Xenopus tropicalis: one gene and its partners. The protein of the gene in region 2 purifies or fractionates together with the protein of the main gene of each other region. This does not show direct contact. Links are inferred from orthologs where the notes say so. Each region holds a gene or a part of one and is shown on either strand. Other genes may lie near its edges. The genes, in order: mms19, fbxl5, cul1, ciao2b and aco1.

The links.
Region 1: the proteins of fbxl5 (region 2) and mms19 purify together in Homo sapiens (affinity purification with mass spectrometry; 4 studies listed by BioGRID and IntAct, counting the BioPlex papers as one, with this or other methods). This does not show direct contact. The link is inferred for Xenopus tropicalis from reciprocal best matches to the Homo sapiens genes FBXL5 and MMS19.
Region 3: the proteins of fbxl5 (region 2) and cul1 purify together in Homo sapiens (affinity purification with western blotting; 11 studies listed by BioGRID and IntAct, counting the BioPlex papers as one, with this or other methods). This does not show direct contact. The link is inferred for Xenopus tropicalis from reciprocal best matches to the Homo sapiens genes FBXL5 and CUL1.
Region 4: the proteins of fbxl5 (region 2) and ciao2b purify together in Homo sapiens (affinity purification with mass spectrometry; 3 studies listed by BioGRID and IntAct, counting the BioPlex papers as one, with this or other methods). This does not show direct contact. The link is inferred for Xenopus tropicalis from reciprocal best matches to the Homo sapiens genes FBXL5 and CIAO2B.
Region 5: the proteins of fbxl5 (region 2) and aco1 purify together in Homo sapiens (affinity purification with western blotting; 3 studies listed by BioGRID, with this or other methods). This does not show direct contact. The link is inferred for Xenopus tropicalis from reciprocal best matches to the Homo sapiens genes FBXL5 and ACO1.

What each region holds. Positions count from the first base shown.
Region 1 is NC_030683.2:33,008,339-33,010,970, reverse strand, and holds the end of mms19 (MMS19 nucleotide excision repair protein homolog), read left to right. Parts: intron 1-628; coding exon 629-688; intron 689-821; coding exon 822-922; intron 923-1,711; coding exon 1,712-1,739; 3' UTR 1,740-2,128; downstream 2,129-2,632. UniProt on the Homo sapiens protein: Key component of the cytosolic iron-sulfur protein assembly (CIA) complex, a multiprotein complex that mediates the incorporation of iron-sulfur cluster into apoproteins specifically involved in DNA metabolism and genomic integrity.
Region 2 is NC_030677.2:27,926,156-27,930,389, forward strand, and holds the start of fbxl5 (F-box/LRR-repeat protein 5), read right to left. Parts: upstream 2,822-4,234; 5' UTR 2,725-2,821; coding exon 2,641-2,724; intron 1-2,640.
Region 3 is NC_030682.2:55,195,851-55,199,371, forward strand, and holds part of cul1 (cullin-1), read right to left. Parts: coding exon 3,507-3,521; intron 2,932-3,506; coding exon 2,764-2,931; intron 2,625-2,763; coding exon 2,574-2,624; intron 2,018-2,573; coding exon 1,927-2,017; intron 1,182-1,926; coding exon 1,018-1,181; intron 431-1,017; coding exon 268-430; intron 1-267. UniProt on the Homo sapiens protein: Core component of multiple cullin-RING-based SCF (SKP1-CUL1-F-box protein) E3 ubiquitin-protein ligase complexes, which mediate the ubiquitination of proteins involved in cell cycle progression, signal transduction and transcription.
Region 4 is NC_030681.2:7,564,465-7,568,620, forward strand, and holds the start of ciao2b (mitotic spindle-associated MMXD complex subunit MIP18), read left to right. Parts: upstream 1-1,354; 5' UTR 1,355-1,382; coding exon 1,383-1,509; intron 1,510-3,878; coding exon 3,879-3,958; intron 3,959-4,086; coding exon 4,087-4,156.
Region 5 is NC_030677.2:117,239,748-117,242,148, forward strand, and holds part of aco1 (cytoplasmic aconitate hydratase), read right to left. Parts: intron 275-2,401; coding exon 152-274; intron 1-151. UniProt on the Homo sapiens protein: Bifunctional iron sensor that switches between 2 activities depending on iron availability. Iron deprivation, promotes its mRNA binding activity through which it regulates the expression of genes involved in iron uptake, sequestration and utilization.

The DNA of each region.
Region 1 (2,632 bases), on a different chromosome or scaffold from region 2:
GTGGTCTCCCTGACCAATACGTGATTGGGCTCTGTAAAGCCCAAGCGAGCGGATCTTCACCCGATATCCCCATCTACGGGTTGGCAATGTCGGGGAACATGTAGGCTAATTCGATCATTTGGCCCTGGGGCCAAATGATCGAATTATAATGGCGGCAATAGGGCAGTCGGTTCGGGGACCACATCAACGAGCCGATGTGGTCCCCAACTGAATTTTTTAACCTGCCCGATCGATATCTGCCCAATTTCAGGCCAGATATCGGTCGGGTATGGCTGTCGTTTCTGCCCCTACACGGGCTGATAAGCTGCCGAATCGGTCCAATTGCTTATCGTATTTAATAAGAGCATTGGTTATTCTTCGTTGCAATGATTCTGTAATTGATTGGATGGAATGCATCGCAGGCCTAACAGATGTATGTTCCTCGCTGTGGTCAGTGTGAGTGAGATATTCTGCACTCCTCAGGCACCTAGCTTTGGCTGACAAAGGCCAAATTTACCATCACAGCTGGAAAGTGAACCTCCAGCGGTTACATTTCCCTTGGGCAGAGTGTGTGGAGCAGTTTGTGTTGTGATCTTGATTCTACTTAAAAGATAAAAGGCTAATTCTTTCTTCCTTTCGCCCTTTCTAGGCTGTTCGGATTACAGCTTTGAAGTGTATCCTTGCTCTCACCAAGCTCCCCTTGCACATGGTAAGAATGCACCTTTGGTGCCATTGCACTTCTACGCTCACTGCTCAGTGTATATCTGTGCCAGTCAGTATGGCTTCTGTGCATAACCGGATTTATATGGATCATACTGTTATATATGGATTTCTCTTGCCAGCTCCTGCCTTATAAGCAACAGGTGATCCGTGCCTTAGCCAAACCTCTGGATGACAAGAAAAGACTAGTGAGGAAGGAGGCAGTCGAGACTCGCTGCCAGTGGTAGGTTCACAGTGTATCTTTATTTTACTGAGTGCATATGGCCTCTTTACAGGGAACGTTACAGGATATATAAACTCCCCCCACACAAACAGCCTCTTTGAAATCTTTCAATACCTGCTGCAGCATCCCCTTAATCACTTAGGATTTCTTCTTCTCTAACCCACTCGGCCCTCTCCCTCAGGAATTTACTTTGGCTGTTGGCTAGTGGGCATGCTCAGTTGTTCTTGGCTCACGCCCCCCAGTCTAGCAGCCAATGAAGAGATGGCATTGCTTGTTCTCATAGAAACTATCTGCCTGCTCCATGTTTTCTCCTTACCTCACCTATTGCTTTTTTTAAATTTTGTGGTTTTTCAGTTAACTTTTGGTTCAGCTGGTTCATTTTTGAATTTCAGCAGCTATCTGGTTACTAGTTACTTATTTACCTTAGCAGCCAGTCAGTGGTTTGAATGAGAGACTGGAATATGAAGAGGGGAGGGTCTCAATAGAAATATATGGAATATAAAGTAACAATAACATCAAAATTTTAGCCTCACAAAGCAAAAGATTTTTTTGACTGCCGGGGTCAGTGACCCCCATTTGAAAGCTGGATACGTGCACATTAGGAAGGCAAATAATTTAAAAACTCTAAAAAAAAAAATAAAGAAGACAAACTGCAAAGTTGCTAGGAATAGCCATTGTCTGCCATAAGCCTAAAGAGCAATAGTGATCTGCAACTGTTGTAGGGCACAATATTGAGTTTTTTGCTCCCCTAATTGATGGTGTGCTCATTCTTTGTTCTTCCCCCTTTAGGTTCTTGCTTGGAAGTCCAGGGAGCTGAGAACAGACTGGATTCTAACTTTGCACGGAGACAATCTAGCCAGGATGCCACTTATTCTTACGACATGATCAACACCATGACTCCATGTGCCATCTTGTTTAGTCGCCCCTCAAATACTGACAACCCCAGGCCCTAACATAGAAGCGGGACCTGCTCACGTCATTAACTCACTGCTAAGTGGATCACAGACGTCCTGCAGCTTTATATTGCACATGAACGATGGTAGCACAGATGTACATTAGATCAATGACTTGGCATGTGGATGAAGAGAACTAGTCCATGAAATATATATAAGGTGTATATTATAACGTATAGTTCTGTGAATGAATAGCAACGCCAGTCTCTTGGCCTGGTTTTAAGTTGGACATAAAAGTTGTTTTTTTTTTTTTACTGTGTGTGTGTTGTAAAGCTTCCCCTTGGGGCTCCAGTCTGGGGGAGATTCTCTCCTGCTGCTGTATGAGAAGAATTTTCTAGAAAGGTGAGGTACACGGGGAATTTTCCCTAAAGCCAAGGTAAATGTGGATTCTCATGCCCATTTTAACTTGATGCTGCTATCCGGAGCAGGTGTGTTCCATGCCTGAGGATTAACATAGGAAAGCAATTATTCTAAGTGCTGAGCTAGCTAACAAAGGTATTTCCCATTCTCTGCACCATCAATACTGCAAATGTTTACATTAAAACTAGCAAATTCGTCTAATGTGTATTTTGTGTTTGAGGTTTTCCTTAAAAGGCCGATACAATATTGGTCCATGTTAACCTACTGAATGGTTTAAGGATACGTAAACCTGCCAAAATAATACATTTTGTAGTTTCTGTTACTGTACAGTCGAAGAGCTATACCTTCAGAAGGAAAATAGGTGTTCTGACGTTGCTATGTGCAAGAAAGATCTTAT
Region 2 (4,234 bases):
GGTCAGAAAGTTAACTCTACACACACCACACTCCTGCCTATCTTTCCCCTGAGCCCAACATGTTACCCAAGGAACACCTACTTGCCAACCTGATGACTGTAGGCAATCCAGCCCCACTTGTCCTGCCAACCCTAGGAGCCAACAGGCAGAACGACAGGAGCAGCAGGAAACGCACCAAGCTCCAACCAACCAGCTGCGTCAGCACATCACATTGCCCCGCTGGACTCACAACCCACATCCAACTTGGTCACAGAATGGTCTGTTGAAACCAAACCCCAACACATACCCAAAAGGTCAGGGAGGGTGGTCAAAAATGGGCAAACTGCCTGACCAAATCAGGGTATATATGTGCAATTTCACTCTTACACAAACCAATGGAAATGTGTGTGACTCCAAGGCTAAGTGTGCATTACTTACGTGTTACACAGTCTTGCCTCACACACACAGCGCTCTATAATCTCAATCTCACCAATATAAAAATATTTTAAGCCTAACACCAGCAATGGGTTTTAAAACCCATGTCGTTACTGTAAAGATTAGTGCAATTAAAAAAAGAATAGCAAGCTGCTTGGCAGGATAATAAATGCTTCATGCAAACTAACAAAAGAAAATCCAGATTCAGCCCCCCTCTGCACACGGTCAGGATTGGAACCTGCCTGTCAGTGCACACAGAGCAGCTCGGCCAGAAGCACTCAGCCTAAATGTTGTCTAAATGCCGGCATAGGAACAAAATGCTCCTGTAACTCACACGCTGCCTCCGGCTACTGCCAAGAGACCTCACAAGCTCTGACATCCGTCCGCCACTAATCACCTCACCTATGAATCAGCAAATTTCATGTTGAAATGGGAAAGTGACCCATAAGCATGACAGGACAGAAAATATGGGGATTGGCTTACATTTCTACCTTACACAGCCCAAGCCTATCCTGAAGCAGCTCAGGGAATGGAAGGTAAGCCGCTTCCTCATCATCCCGGGCATCCATCTCACTTAAAGGGATGGTTCACAGGGCAATTTGGGGCATGGCCAGTGTATGGCTCCAGAGGTAGAACTAATTCACCCTGTGTGCATTGCTGTAATTCAGTACTAGCTCTTCTAGTAGGGGGTGGGAGGGAGAGAACGGTCAATGTATAACCCTTCCCAAGGCCATCTTGAACAATAAAACCACCCCCACCCAACTGCAGACAGTATGCCTTTTTGGGTGACACTGCCCGTAAGGGACAACACTGATAGCAGCACCCCTGAGATTTGGCCTCCTGATGTTTGTGTCCAGCTGCCAAACTCTTGCAACAGGAATGCCAATCATACCACACTCTCATAGGCTCTTCATACAACTATTATTATTATTATTAACATTTATTTATAAAGTGCCAACATATTCCGCAGCGCTGTTCAATAAGTGGGTTTCATACATTGGACATACAGAGTAACATATAAAGCAATCAATAACCGATACAAGAGGTGAAGAGAGCCCTGCCCAAAAGAGCTTACACTCTACAAGGAGAAAGGGTTGAGACACAAGGTGATACAATGTTACAATGGATTCCCTTTCAAATGAAAATGATGGAATATGCACCTCCATATAGTCTATAATAAAGGGATTAAGGGGACCCACATTCAGGTCCCGACCCTCAGGTTGAGAATCCCTGCCCTAATGGGTATAGGGCTCTTTATACATCTGTACAAACTCTGCCAATGCAGACATTCTGTAGGGTTAGAGTGATGGCACAAAGCTCAGGCATCTACAGAATGGGAGAGAAGCCAGAAAACACTTGTGTAAGTGATGTTATTAGAGCATTGGGCATTTATTTCATGAAGAACTGGCCCAGTTTAAAAATGTTCAAGACTCCAAGGCATAATGGCAGCTGCAGTCCAACCACTATGAAGACAAATATTCATAACCAGGGTCAGTAATAACAGAGAGGGGGTGCCAGGATACGCGCAAGGGCTGGGCCCCCACAGAACCTGCAGAACTTCCAGCTGGAGCGATCAGCTGACTCGGGATGGGGAGAGTTGCAATTCAACAAGAAGCTGGAAGGCTACAGCACTGACAATCCTTTTGCATACACTCAAAATATCAACATTATAAAGGTTAAGCAAAGCTGGCTTTCAGTCTAGTATCCCATAGCAACTAATTGATGGGCTGGCTGACATCTGATTGGTCTACTTGACCAGGTCAGACTTTATATAACAGTACCCTGATGTACCCTGGGGGCTTTTATCTGCCTTTCCCTTCCCCATGTGATGCTGGGAATCCCAGAGAAGAACCCCTGTCCCTACCCGTGTATAATGTATAACAAATCTGCCCTCAGCCCACTGCCTGCACTAAAGTTCCCTGCTGTTGCTGAACTACAAATGGCAGCGCTGCTCTGTATCAGTAGGGCGATAGTACCAGCGTATGAAGTATAACCCGGGGGGTGCTGTACAATACCTATGCTATACATACAGTGCAGGTATGTGTCTATATTCCCATCTAAAGGAATGAAGAATTGGGCTTTTAACAAAGCCAGGACTGGATCAATATCCCTAATAGCATGGGGTTCTCAGACTGGCTCAGAGGGTTGCCATGGGATGCTGGGGGATGTAGTGAGAATCTTTCAGTTTCCCATAATCCCAAGCCGCCATCATCCTACAGAATTTACCTTCTCGCAATACCTCCCCACCAGCTGCTTCATCCGCCAGTGTGGTCCAGTGAACAAGTCCACCTCGTCCGGAAATGGAGCCATGTCCGCCTCTCCATACAAGAGCTCCCAAGCGCTCAAAAACCCAGAGTGACCGACAAGCTCACACAGCCCTGCCAAAATAACCCGACGGCAGACCTCCTCCTCACAACTGCGCAACTACGGCCTACACTTCCCTACTGCGCCTGCGCAATCCAACCTGTCACGTAATGCACAGAGAAGCTAGCAGCTGCGCAGCCGCAAACTTGGCATGGCCGGTTGCCTAGTATCCTGATAGCCGTCCTATGAGCATGCGTTCTATAACGGCCACCGTAGCTTCAATGCGCATGCGCAATGCTACTTTCTCGGTCACTATATAAGTAACGCTCGTAAAAGTGACAAGCCTCACGGTCCTGCGCATGCGCTGAGCGATCTCCGCCTGTTGGGACAAAACCATTTTTCAAACCCAAAGGCACACGTAGCAGCTCTAAACATTTTAGTTGAAAATGTATCACATTTATTTTTACAATGAGGATTTATGTTTTATTTTGCAAAGAGTGGGTCGTTTTCAGTGTTTCTAAATGCTCAATTAACAGTATTAACATGAGGCGGATACTAATGCAAGTGTTATTTATAAGCAGGAAAGATTGTATATTTTTTACAGAAAAAGTGAAAACACTAATTGATGCCAGTGTTACTAAAGAAGGAGAAGTAAAGCTTAAATAAACAATACAGGCAAACCTTAACTTTACAACTTACAACTTTACGTTCCCTTCTTAACCACAATTTAAAATTTTCTTATTTTTTTTTCCAGTCCTACCAGTTCCAATTCACCTAAATTTTACATCACATTTTCCTGCATTTTAATTATTTTTTTCTCGTTTTCCTAAAAATGTATTTTTGTTCTCTGTAAACACTTGGGTAATTACCAGAAAGAGGAGGGGGGGGGGGGGGTGCCAGCCCGACCCATGGTGCCAGCCCAACCCATGGTGCCTGCAGGAGATACCAGAACCCTAAACTGACATTTTGGTTAGGTGGATGAATGGGCCAGGTGTCATTTTTGCACCCAGTCCTGTAGTGTTAGGTTGTGCATGAAACTTTCAAAGGGATCCTGCAAATGCCGTCCACATATCCTATAGATTAATGCTAAACTGCTTGAAGTTGAGCCAGTAGCAGGGTGAAGAACTCTATTGCAAAGCAAATTTGGCTCCTGTACTTATATCCTCTACTTTAAACCATTTCCCTGATTTTACATTTGACAGAATTAAAATAGGGCTTTTACTGTATTGCTAGAAATTCTTTTATATACTGAACTTACTGTTCCAGGCCTGAGGCCCAACAGCCTTATAACTGTAATGATCCATGCTGTCCTAGCTTGGGTTGCCACCTTTTTTTTACAGTGAATACTGGCAAGCAGTGATATCACAGGGTGGGAAAATGGGTGGGCTACATAGGGAAAGAGTCAGGGAAGGACAGGATTTATAGGTAGGGCTGCCATCCTTATATATTGCTGGTAAATTTGTAATACTGGCACTAGAATCGCCAGCTAGGCTGGTCAAATAGCGGCTTGATCTCA
Region 3 (3,521 bases), on a different chromosome or scaffold from region 2:
ATAGGATCGCAATTGTATCGTGTATGGCCACCTTAATTTTGCTCTAACAGTGTAAGAAGGTTAACATTGGTATACAGGCTGGCAATCTATTTTGATAAACCAATAGGAATTCAAGAAATTCATAGAAGCTACTGGCCCAATAGCCAACAACTGTGCATGTACACAACTCCCAGCATTACACAGAAATTAGCTATTGTTTGTAATAGCTCGCGGCCCATGTAGAAATGTATTCATTTTGGAGCATAGTGGCCCGTGTTAGATAATTACCTTCATTTTTATCAGCATCTAGTAAATTCTGAAATTCAGTGTGGAAAATCTCTAGATGTTTTTCAATTAGGACTTGTTCACATTTCCGTGCTAGTTCATCCTGTGTGCTCTCATGTAAGTATACTTGTACTCTGCGCTGCTCCTCCAAAAGCCGAGCTTCTGCCTAAAAAAGACAAAAGCAATAATAAGCCTTAGGCACACACAGAACAATGTTATTACACAGCAGGGTGCATAAACTCTTCTAATATGCAGACTTTTCTTTTCTTAGACAGAATAGGTATTCTATTCACTAAGCATTACTTCTGTGAATATGTATCACTTTGCACAATTAGAAGGTGCCACTAACTGTCACTTCAGTTTGTATTTCATACAAACTGATGTGGTGTGTTGCGGTGTGTGGAGCATTATCAGTTTTACCTCCCCCCCCCCTAAAAATTAACATTATTACACCAACTATTATATAAAGGGAAATGCAGAGAGAAAGAATAATCTTGAAAATGCGAATGAAGCAATCATTGCTCACCATATATGAAAGAATTACAATTCTAAAAATGTTTGCACCATTCGCTGTGCTTCTCCTATACAGTCACTGAAGAGACAGAGCTATCAAGCCCTATAATGTGTGTGTAACAGAAGCATTGGCAAATGGCTGCCTAACATCTAGCATTAGTAACAATACTTGCTTCTTTGGAACCAGGTTACCTCACCCTGGTAACAGTATAGCAGATTTTCAAAAGAAAGCAGACCTACCTTTTTCATATATTCTGTGACAGGGTTCTGCTGTAAAAACTCTGTGCTCTCTCTTGTATAAAACCGTTCTGTGTCTGCCAAAAACTGAGACTCAAAGGACTCTTTATAAACAGTCAGTGTTGGGCCTTTGGCAAATGCATCATCTTCATTCAAGCCAAGCTCAACTTGAAAGAAAAACATATTTTTACTGCTTTGTGATTTTTTTTCAATTTATTTTTTTACATTGGCTGGCATGGTGCCTTTTATTACGAGAACCCATCTATTTTACGTGAACCAAAGTGGACTAAGCATTAACCTTTTCTAGCACAGACACATTAACAGTTGTATTTACATAACCAGCTATATTTAGGTCTAGTGCCACCCTAGGCATTGGACCTAATTCACACACCCCCAAACCTTGGGGCATCCGTAGGCCATCCCCTGCTGCGAATGGGGCTCTCGGGCGCCTATAAATATGGCTCTGCACACAACATTAAACAGATTTAACGAAGAAATTTCCTCCCAAAAAAATCACTAATCAAGTGTTATTAATTTAGGCTCATTTAACTGAAAATCAAATAGTGATTTAATTGTTGTTTTGATTTTTTGCACAAGTCCTGTTATGTATAAAGCTTTCTATTTTTATTATTAATTTTATTTGCACCCAGGCAGACACTTTATTATATTTGAGTGCTCCTCTCAGTGTTATTTATATATATATATATATATATATATATATATATAATATATAATGCAAGGATGATGGCAATCAAATCAAACAGTCAGAACACAGATCATCAGAAGAAAAACCTCACAGCACTTGCCTAACATCTAATACTGTATCCATATCTCTGTGTAATTCTGAGTGTGATGTTGTAAAGATTAGTTATGCATTAGCAGATGCAGGGATACATATTAAAATTAACTTACCATAAGATTGCACCACTCCACTTATAAGCCTGGTGTTTATTGTTTCACCATTTCGTTCCTTTTCAATCAGTTTCAGCACAGCATTTGTTACCTTTTGAAACAGACCAAATAGTGTCACAAATTTACTTCACAATTACCAACTTTTTGTTATATGTATGTATGTGGAGGTGTGATTTAAAAAAATATGAGCGGAATGGAAGAAAACAAAAAAAACATCCCGTCTACCAACTTGGAAATGCAGCATCAACAATTACAGATCACTACTGAAGATGAGAATGGGCACCTCAGGTATGCTGTGAGCATGAAGCACTGTCAATGCTCAACACTAGGGCTAGCACAGTGAGGGCCAACAGGAGGGACATCTGCAGTATACATTGTCAGATGATTACTGAACACAGCATAACTTACAACTTGCTGTGGTAAATGGTAAGAGAAACAGTAAAAAATTTATATTAAAGCCAGTTGTATTTGGAGAGGGGAAGCACAGGGAAAAATTGTTTTGATTTTCAACCATGCCATAATTTAAGGTTCAGTTTACACAGTGCCTCTTTGATGAACTGCATAATAGCACAGCTACAAGAATAACGATCATGTAAATGTCACAAATAACAATAAGTTTGACTGTATAACAAGGTATTGATATTTACCTGCTTATTCAAAGGCTTAAACAGACAATCCCTCCATGTCACTAAGGCCAGCTAGGAGAAAGGAACACAAACAAAGACCTATTAACGATGTAATCACCCACTGTTAAGAAAAATAGTCAGTTATAGGTTCTCTTATCAAGCAATCTGTTGAAATGGGTTTACTAATGTAAGCAAATGTTATCCAACTTACAGAATATATTTCATATATTCCTTTGCGGCCTTCATCACACTCACGGCGAACCCAGTGCCGGTTGAGGTATGCGCAGATTCCATTCAGCACTTTACTTGAAAACCTGTAATCTTCCCATTGCTGTGTGTAAAACTTCAGTACGCTCTCATCCATCAAATCTTCTCCATCCTGGGGAGTACATATTAATATACCATATTCCCAAACAATTTTAGTTGCCTTCTATGCAGTAATAATTACAAATAAAAATATAAAAGTCATCTTGCAAGCAGCTTTAGCAACAAGTTTGGATGCATTAAACCTGTCTAGTATGGAAGATATTAAAGACCTGTGAACCAAAACAATGTATTTTGATAGCATTCTGTACTCCTAATATCACAAAATATGCTTGGAATACAAATGGCAGCAGATATCCTGCTGCAGGAAAATTAAGCTCATGACAACTGGTAGGCTGCAGCTGGTAGTAGGTTACCTACACTGCTCTGCAGCATGATTTAAACCTGTGCTCCCCTATAGTAGTAGTGCCAATGAGTTATGCAGGTAGTTTTTTTGGTTTGTTTTTTTTACACAGTATTAATGATATACTGTGGCCCTACAATAAAAATAAATCAGATACGATAAAATGAAGAATGCACAATTATGTCTGTATACAGCATATGAAACATAAATCCATTTATTTTATGAAGTATTAGAAACATGTTGTTCATATTGCATTCCCTCAGAGATTCAATTTAACAAAAACTTACCTTTAGGAGATTTGT
Region 4 (4,156 bases), on a different chromosome or scaffold from region 2:
GCCCGTGGGCAATGACTGGTAGAACATAGATGGGCCCGTGGGCAATGACTGGTAGAACATAGATGGGCCCGTGGGCAATGACTGGTAGAACATAGATGGGCCCGTGGGCAATGACTGGTAGAACGTAGATGGGCCCGTGGGCAATGACTGGTAGAACATAGATGGGCCCGTGGGGCAATGACTGGTAGAACATAGATGGGCCCGTGGGCAATGACTGGTAGAACATAGATGGGGCCCGTGGGCAATGACTGGTAGAACATAGATGGGCCCGTGGGCAATGACTGGTAGAACATAGATGGGCCCGTGGGCAATGACTGGTAGAACATAGATGGGCCCGTGGGCAATGACTGGTAGAACATAGATGGGCCCGTGGGCAATGACTGGTAGAACATAGATGGGCCCGTGGGCAATGACTGGTAGAACATAGATGGGCCCGTGGGCAGTGACTGGTAGAACGTAGATGGGCCCGTGGGCAATGACTGGTAGAACATAGATGGGCCCGTGGGCAATGACTGGTAGAACATAGATGGGCCCGTGGGCAATGACTGGTAGAACATAGATGGGCCGTGGGCAATGACTGGTAGAACATAGATGGGCCCGTGGGCAGTGACTGGTAGAACGTAGATGGGCCCGTGGGCAATGACTGGTAGAACATAGATGGGCCCGTGGGCAATGACTGGTAGAACATAGATGGGCCTGTGGGCAATGACTGGTAGAACGTAGATGGGCCCGTGGGCAGTAGGAAATATCCAGTAGAGAAGTGGCTATACCTTTGCTTGTTGCTATGATACTGTATGTTTAAGGTGGCTGAGTTGGCCGGGCAGGGGCTGATCCCCTAGTGATTCATTCATTCACTTATATTAATCCTAGCTGTAGGCTAATTGTTAGATACAAACTACATTACCCAGCATGCAGTGGGACAGGTGCGTCAGGTTTACCAGGTTTCCACACTACAAACCCGCCAAGGCTCCATAGAAACAGCCCAAATCTGTACCTTAGCGGGTTTGTACTTTGGAAACCCACCTGGGCTTTAGTTAGTAGCTCAATTGGGTGGAAAAGCCGCCAACCCGGTAACCCTGACGGTAGCACTTAGTGTAACCAAGCCAATAGCTAAGGCTTCCGGTTTCCGGGCTGAACCATACCAACCTATACATTCTGATTCTAATTTGCCAGGATAAAACATGGCGTTTTCCTTTTCCGCCCTTTTCCACACAGCCGGTGATTGGTAGGCATTGCAAACCAATCCAAGAGGCTCGGCCAGTGATTGGCCCGCTGCGGGTGAATCAGCCAATGGCAGGCGGAGGTGCCTATTGCCAGACGGAAACATTTCCCGCACGGCGTGGTGAGGGCGGAAGTGGTACGGTAGGAATAAGGGTCCGGGGATGGTGGGAGGGAGCCAGCTGGAGAACGCGAATCCGCTCATTTACCGGCGGGCGGGGGAGCGGCAGGTCACAGCGCAGGAGGAGGATGAGGACGCGCCGGACCGGATCGATGACCGGGAGATCTTTGATATCCTTCCGCGTATATGAGCCGTACCCATGGGCGTAGTGCCGGGCTCACCCCCTGCCTGTTCCCTAGCAACCGGGGGATAGAGCCCTCTCCCGATAATATCCGTGTCCTTCCTGCCCCTTGTATCCGCCTGTGCCCATGGGGGTAACTGCCTCGTACTGTTGCCTAATACCCCCCCCCCCCCAAATCTACTGCCCTGGGCTGTCATCCACTCAGCGCAGTCTTATCCCTATCTGCCCCAGCAACTGCCCCCTTCCTATACTGACCCTTCCCTATCTATCTGCCCCTTCCTATACTGACCCTTCCCTATCTATCTGCCCCAGCAACTGCCCCCTTCCTATACTGCCCCTTTCCTATCTATCTGCCCCAGCAACTGCCCCCTTCCTATACTGCCCCTTCCCTATCTATCTGCCCCAGCAACTGCCCCCTTCCTATACTGCCCCTTCCCTATCTATCTGCCCCAGCAACTGCCCCCTTCCTATACTGCCCCTTCCCTATCTATCTGCCCCAGCAACTGCCCCCTTCCTATACTGACCCTTCCGTATCTATCTGCCCCAGCAACTGACCCTTCCGTATCTATTTGCCCCAGCCCTATATATCTGCCCCAGAAACTAACCCTTTTATATATATTTGCCCTATTCCTTTACTGACCCTTCCCTATTTACCTGTCCCATCCCTATACTGACCCTTATCTATTTATTTGCCCCATCCTAATACTTGCACTTCCCTATCTATCTACCCCTGCAACTGCCCCATACCTAAACTGACCCTTCCCTATCTATCTGCCCCATACCTATACTGACCCTTCCCTATCTATCTGCCCCATACCTATACTGACCCTTCCCTATCTATCTGCCCCTGCAACTGCCCCTGCAACTGCCCCATACCTATACTGACCCTTCCCTATCTATCTGCCCCATACCTATACTGACCCTTCCCTATCTATCTGCCCCATACCTATACTGACCCTTCCCTATCTATCTGCCCCATACCTATACTGACCCTTCCCTATCTATCTGCCCCTTCCCTATCTATCTGCCCCATACCTATACTGACCCTTCCCTATCTATCTGCCCCATACCTATACTGCCCCCTTCCCTATCTATCTGCCCCATACCTATACTGCCCCTTCCCTATCTATCTGCCCCATACCTATACTGCCCCTTCCCTATCTATCTGCCCCATACCTATACTGACCCTTCCCTATCTATCTGCCCCATACCTATACTGACCCTTCCCTATCTATCTGCCCCTTCCCTATCTATCTGCCCCATACCTACACTGACCCTTCCCTATCTATCTGCCCCATACCTACACTGACCCTTCCCTATCTATCTGCCCCATACCTATACTGCCCCTTCCCTATCTATCTGCCCATACCTACACTGACCCTTCCCTATCTATCTGCCCCCATACCTATACTGACCCTTCCCTATCTATCTGCCCCATACCTACACTGACCCTTCCCTATCTATCTGCCCCATACCTATACTGACCCTTCCCTATCTATCTGCCCCTTCCCTATCTATCTGCCCCATACCTATACTGACCCTTCCCTATCTATCTGCCCCATACCTATACTGCCCCTTCCCTATCTATCTGCCCCATACCTATACTGCCCCTTCCCTATCTATCTGCCCCATACCTACACTGACCCTTCCCTATCTATCTGCCCCATACCTATACTGACCCTTCCCTATCTATCTGCCCCTTCCCTATCTATCTGCCCCATACCTATACTGACCCTTCCCTATCTATCTGCCCCATACCTATACTGACCCTTCCCTATCTATCTGCCCCATACCTATACTGACCCTTCCCTATCTATCTGCCCCTGTAACTGCCCCATACTTATACTGACCTTTTCATATACAGTATATCTGCCCTTGCAACTGCCCCTTCCCTATCCATTTGCCCCAACAATTGCCCAATCCCTTCACTCATTCTCCGATATCAGCCCCAAGCTCCAGCCTCTAACTGCCTCTCAACAACCTTCCACATTTATTGTAAAGGGCAAGTAGCACCAAAGCAAGTTTTTTGTTAATGAATTTAATATGCGGTTACCCAGCATTGCTAGTCATTGTGTATAAGGAATTCGCTGTGTAGCCGGGGGGCTGCCATTCATGTTCCAGCGGGGCCCCCCTGTATATTGGAGGTACAGGAGACGCTGTTTGCAATACAAATATTTCAGAACTTGAGCTGGGCTCATATAGGCACCAACTCAGGATGAAACTTGCTCCTATCAAATAAAACTGATACACATACTCCCAGTTATAATGTCACTGGCCCATTAACCCTTTGGTAGCTTGCATGTTCTACTTATTGAGTTTACTCCTTGCTTTCCCTTCCATTGCCCTTAATTCCGGTACATCTGATTCGCTGTATAAATGACCCGGAACACCCACTTACGCTGGAGGAACTAAACGTGGTTGAAGAAATTCGAGTGAAGGTGCAAATTGCTTGTTACCCTATGGCCCCCCCCCCCCCCCCCCCCAGTATAAGTAAATGTTATGTACTAACAGAAGAGCTAAATTCTCTTAGTGAATATCCCTATTACTGTGCGTGTTTGTTCCTCAGGTAAGTGATGAGGAGAGCACAGTGTCCGTCGAGTTTACCCCGACCATCCCGCACTGCAGTATGGCAACGC
Region 5 (2,401 bases), about 89 Mb from region 2:
ATTCTATTGGACTGATTCAAATTGAATTATTTACTTGATTTTTTGTGTTTTTCTTTCTGCTTGTGTGCAATAGTGCATGCATCGAACAGTCTATAAATATTAATGTTTTATGAAAACAAAAGAAATTTGGAATAAGCAGATGCCACCATACCTGTAAGAAAGGACCTTTTGCAGCCCAATCTCTAGAACTTCCAGAACCATACTCTTTTCCTGTCAGAAGGATTAAATTGTGCCCATCATTTTGGTATCTTTCAGCTGCATCAAATATATCAAGCTAAAAAACAAAACAAAAAACAAATATATTTCCAATACACACATTTAGAAAGGCAATAAGAAGAAGGTTCAGTAGCCATTTAGAAAATGATGCTATTGGCAGAATGTAGTGATTTCAATGACATAAATAAAATGACATACTTCAATCAAGGAACACAGATTTGTGTTATGTTTCATAATATTTATTAATCAGCCAACATAATGGGTTATTTTCTTCTGCATTATATATGGATGCAACAGCTACCAGGAAAAAAAATAATAGTTTTTGACACATAACGAAAAATCGAGAGGTGAATGGATGACCAGCAATAAAGGTAGAGCTATATTATACTCTCACCTCACTTTAATTAAAGGGCAGTATACACTCACCTAAAGGATTATTAGGAACACCATACTAATACCCTTCCTCTGACCTCTAGCATCAACAAGGCATTTTCGCCCACAGGACTGCCGCATACTGAGTAACACATGCAGTAACTGAGCAGATCTTGAAATATATGCATTGAAGCAACTGCCATGTGATTGGTTGATTAGATAATTGCATTAATGAGAAATTGAACAGGTGTTCCTAATAAACCTTTAGGTGAGTATCTATTCTGCCTCTTTTTTCATTAAAAATTCTAGTTTTTCTTACTTTTTAAGGCACTCATGGGAAGTTTTGTTTTTTACTAAACTCACTCTACTCTGCCAACCTAAACAAGGTTTTCTTTTTAAAGGAGGATAATAAACACTGAATAAACAAACCCCCCCCATCCTTAAAGGTCATGTCAACCCCAAAAATAATTTTTTTGCAGAATCAAAGAAAACATAATTCCAATTATAATTGACTGATAATTCCAAGCAACGTTCCAATGTAAATTTATTGAAAATTTTTAGTGCTTTAACCTTTTTACTGCCAGCCATTTTGGTCAAAGCGGAACTTGTATTGCCAGACAGTTTTTGAACATTTTGCACTGTTTCACTTTAGGGGCCTTTCCTCGGGGGGACTTTTAGTTTACCAAGGAAAACAATATATCATTTTTTTCAGAACAACCTAAGCTTTCAAAATATGGTAGAATTTTTGTGTAATTCCAATTCTGTAACAAGATATAGGCTTCTAAATGTCTAAAAATGCAAAAAAAATCAAATTTTCCATAATATAATCACACATACTAGAAACAAAAATTATTTTATGCACGAATATACAACTGATTTGGAAAGTCCCATGTCTCCTGAACGTGCCAATACCAAATATATATAGTTTTATGGAGATTTCTCACTTGTATAGGTCAAAAACTCCCAGCAGTACACTACCAAATTCCCAAAGCACTGCTCCAAAAAAACTGCATACTTTGGATTTCAAGGCCAAAATTCCACTAACAGAAGTTTTATCCCAGAAAATTGTACATTTTTGGAAAGAACAGATTCTGGGGAATACAGAATAGGCACAACTGTCTGTCTACTCCAAACTATCAAGTCGCAATGCTTTCCTAAAGTTATTGGTTTTTATCAAAATTTGTGATTTTTTTTAAAAATCGCTTCAAAGCTTCTAGTCTATAGTATCTTATCTCCTACAGGTCATAAAGTAACCAAATAAAACACCCTAAATATGAATGCCTGGGGTCCACTGAACAGTTTGATGCCCAATATGTATAGGTTTACCTAAGTATGTGGCATGTAGGGGCCCCAATGTGAACATACCCCATATGAACTGTCATTTCTGTCATTTCAGCTTCTGCAAAATCAACACATTTACATCATTATATGTGGGATGAAGCTAGTAAAAAGTACGCTCACCCCAGAAAGTCATATATTTTTGGAAAGTACACATTCCCCCGAATCTAAAATGGGTACCCATGTCTTTCTACTCCAAAGTACCAAGCCGCACAGCTTTTCTAAAGTTAGCAATTTTGATGACATTTCCAAAAATCCCCTCAAAGCTTCCACTTTGAAGCATCTTATCTCCCACATAGCATTAGATACCAAGATAAAACACCCTGAATTTGAACGCCAGGGGTCCACTGAACAGTTTGATGCCCAATATGTATAGGTTTACCTAAGTATGTGGCATGTAGGGGCCCCAATGTGAACATACCCCCATATGAACTGTCATTTCTGTCATTTCAGCTCCTGCAAAATCAACACATAT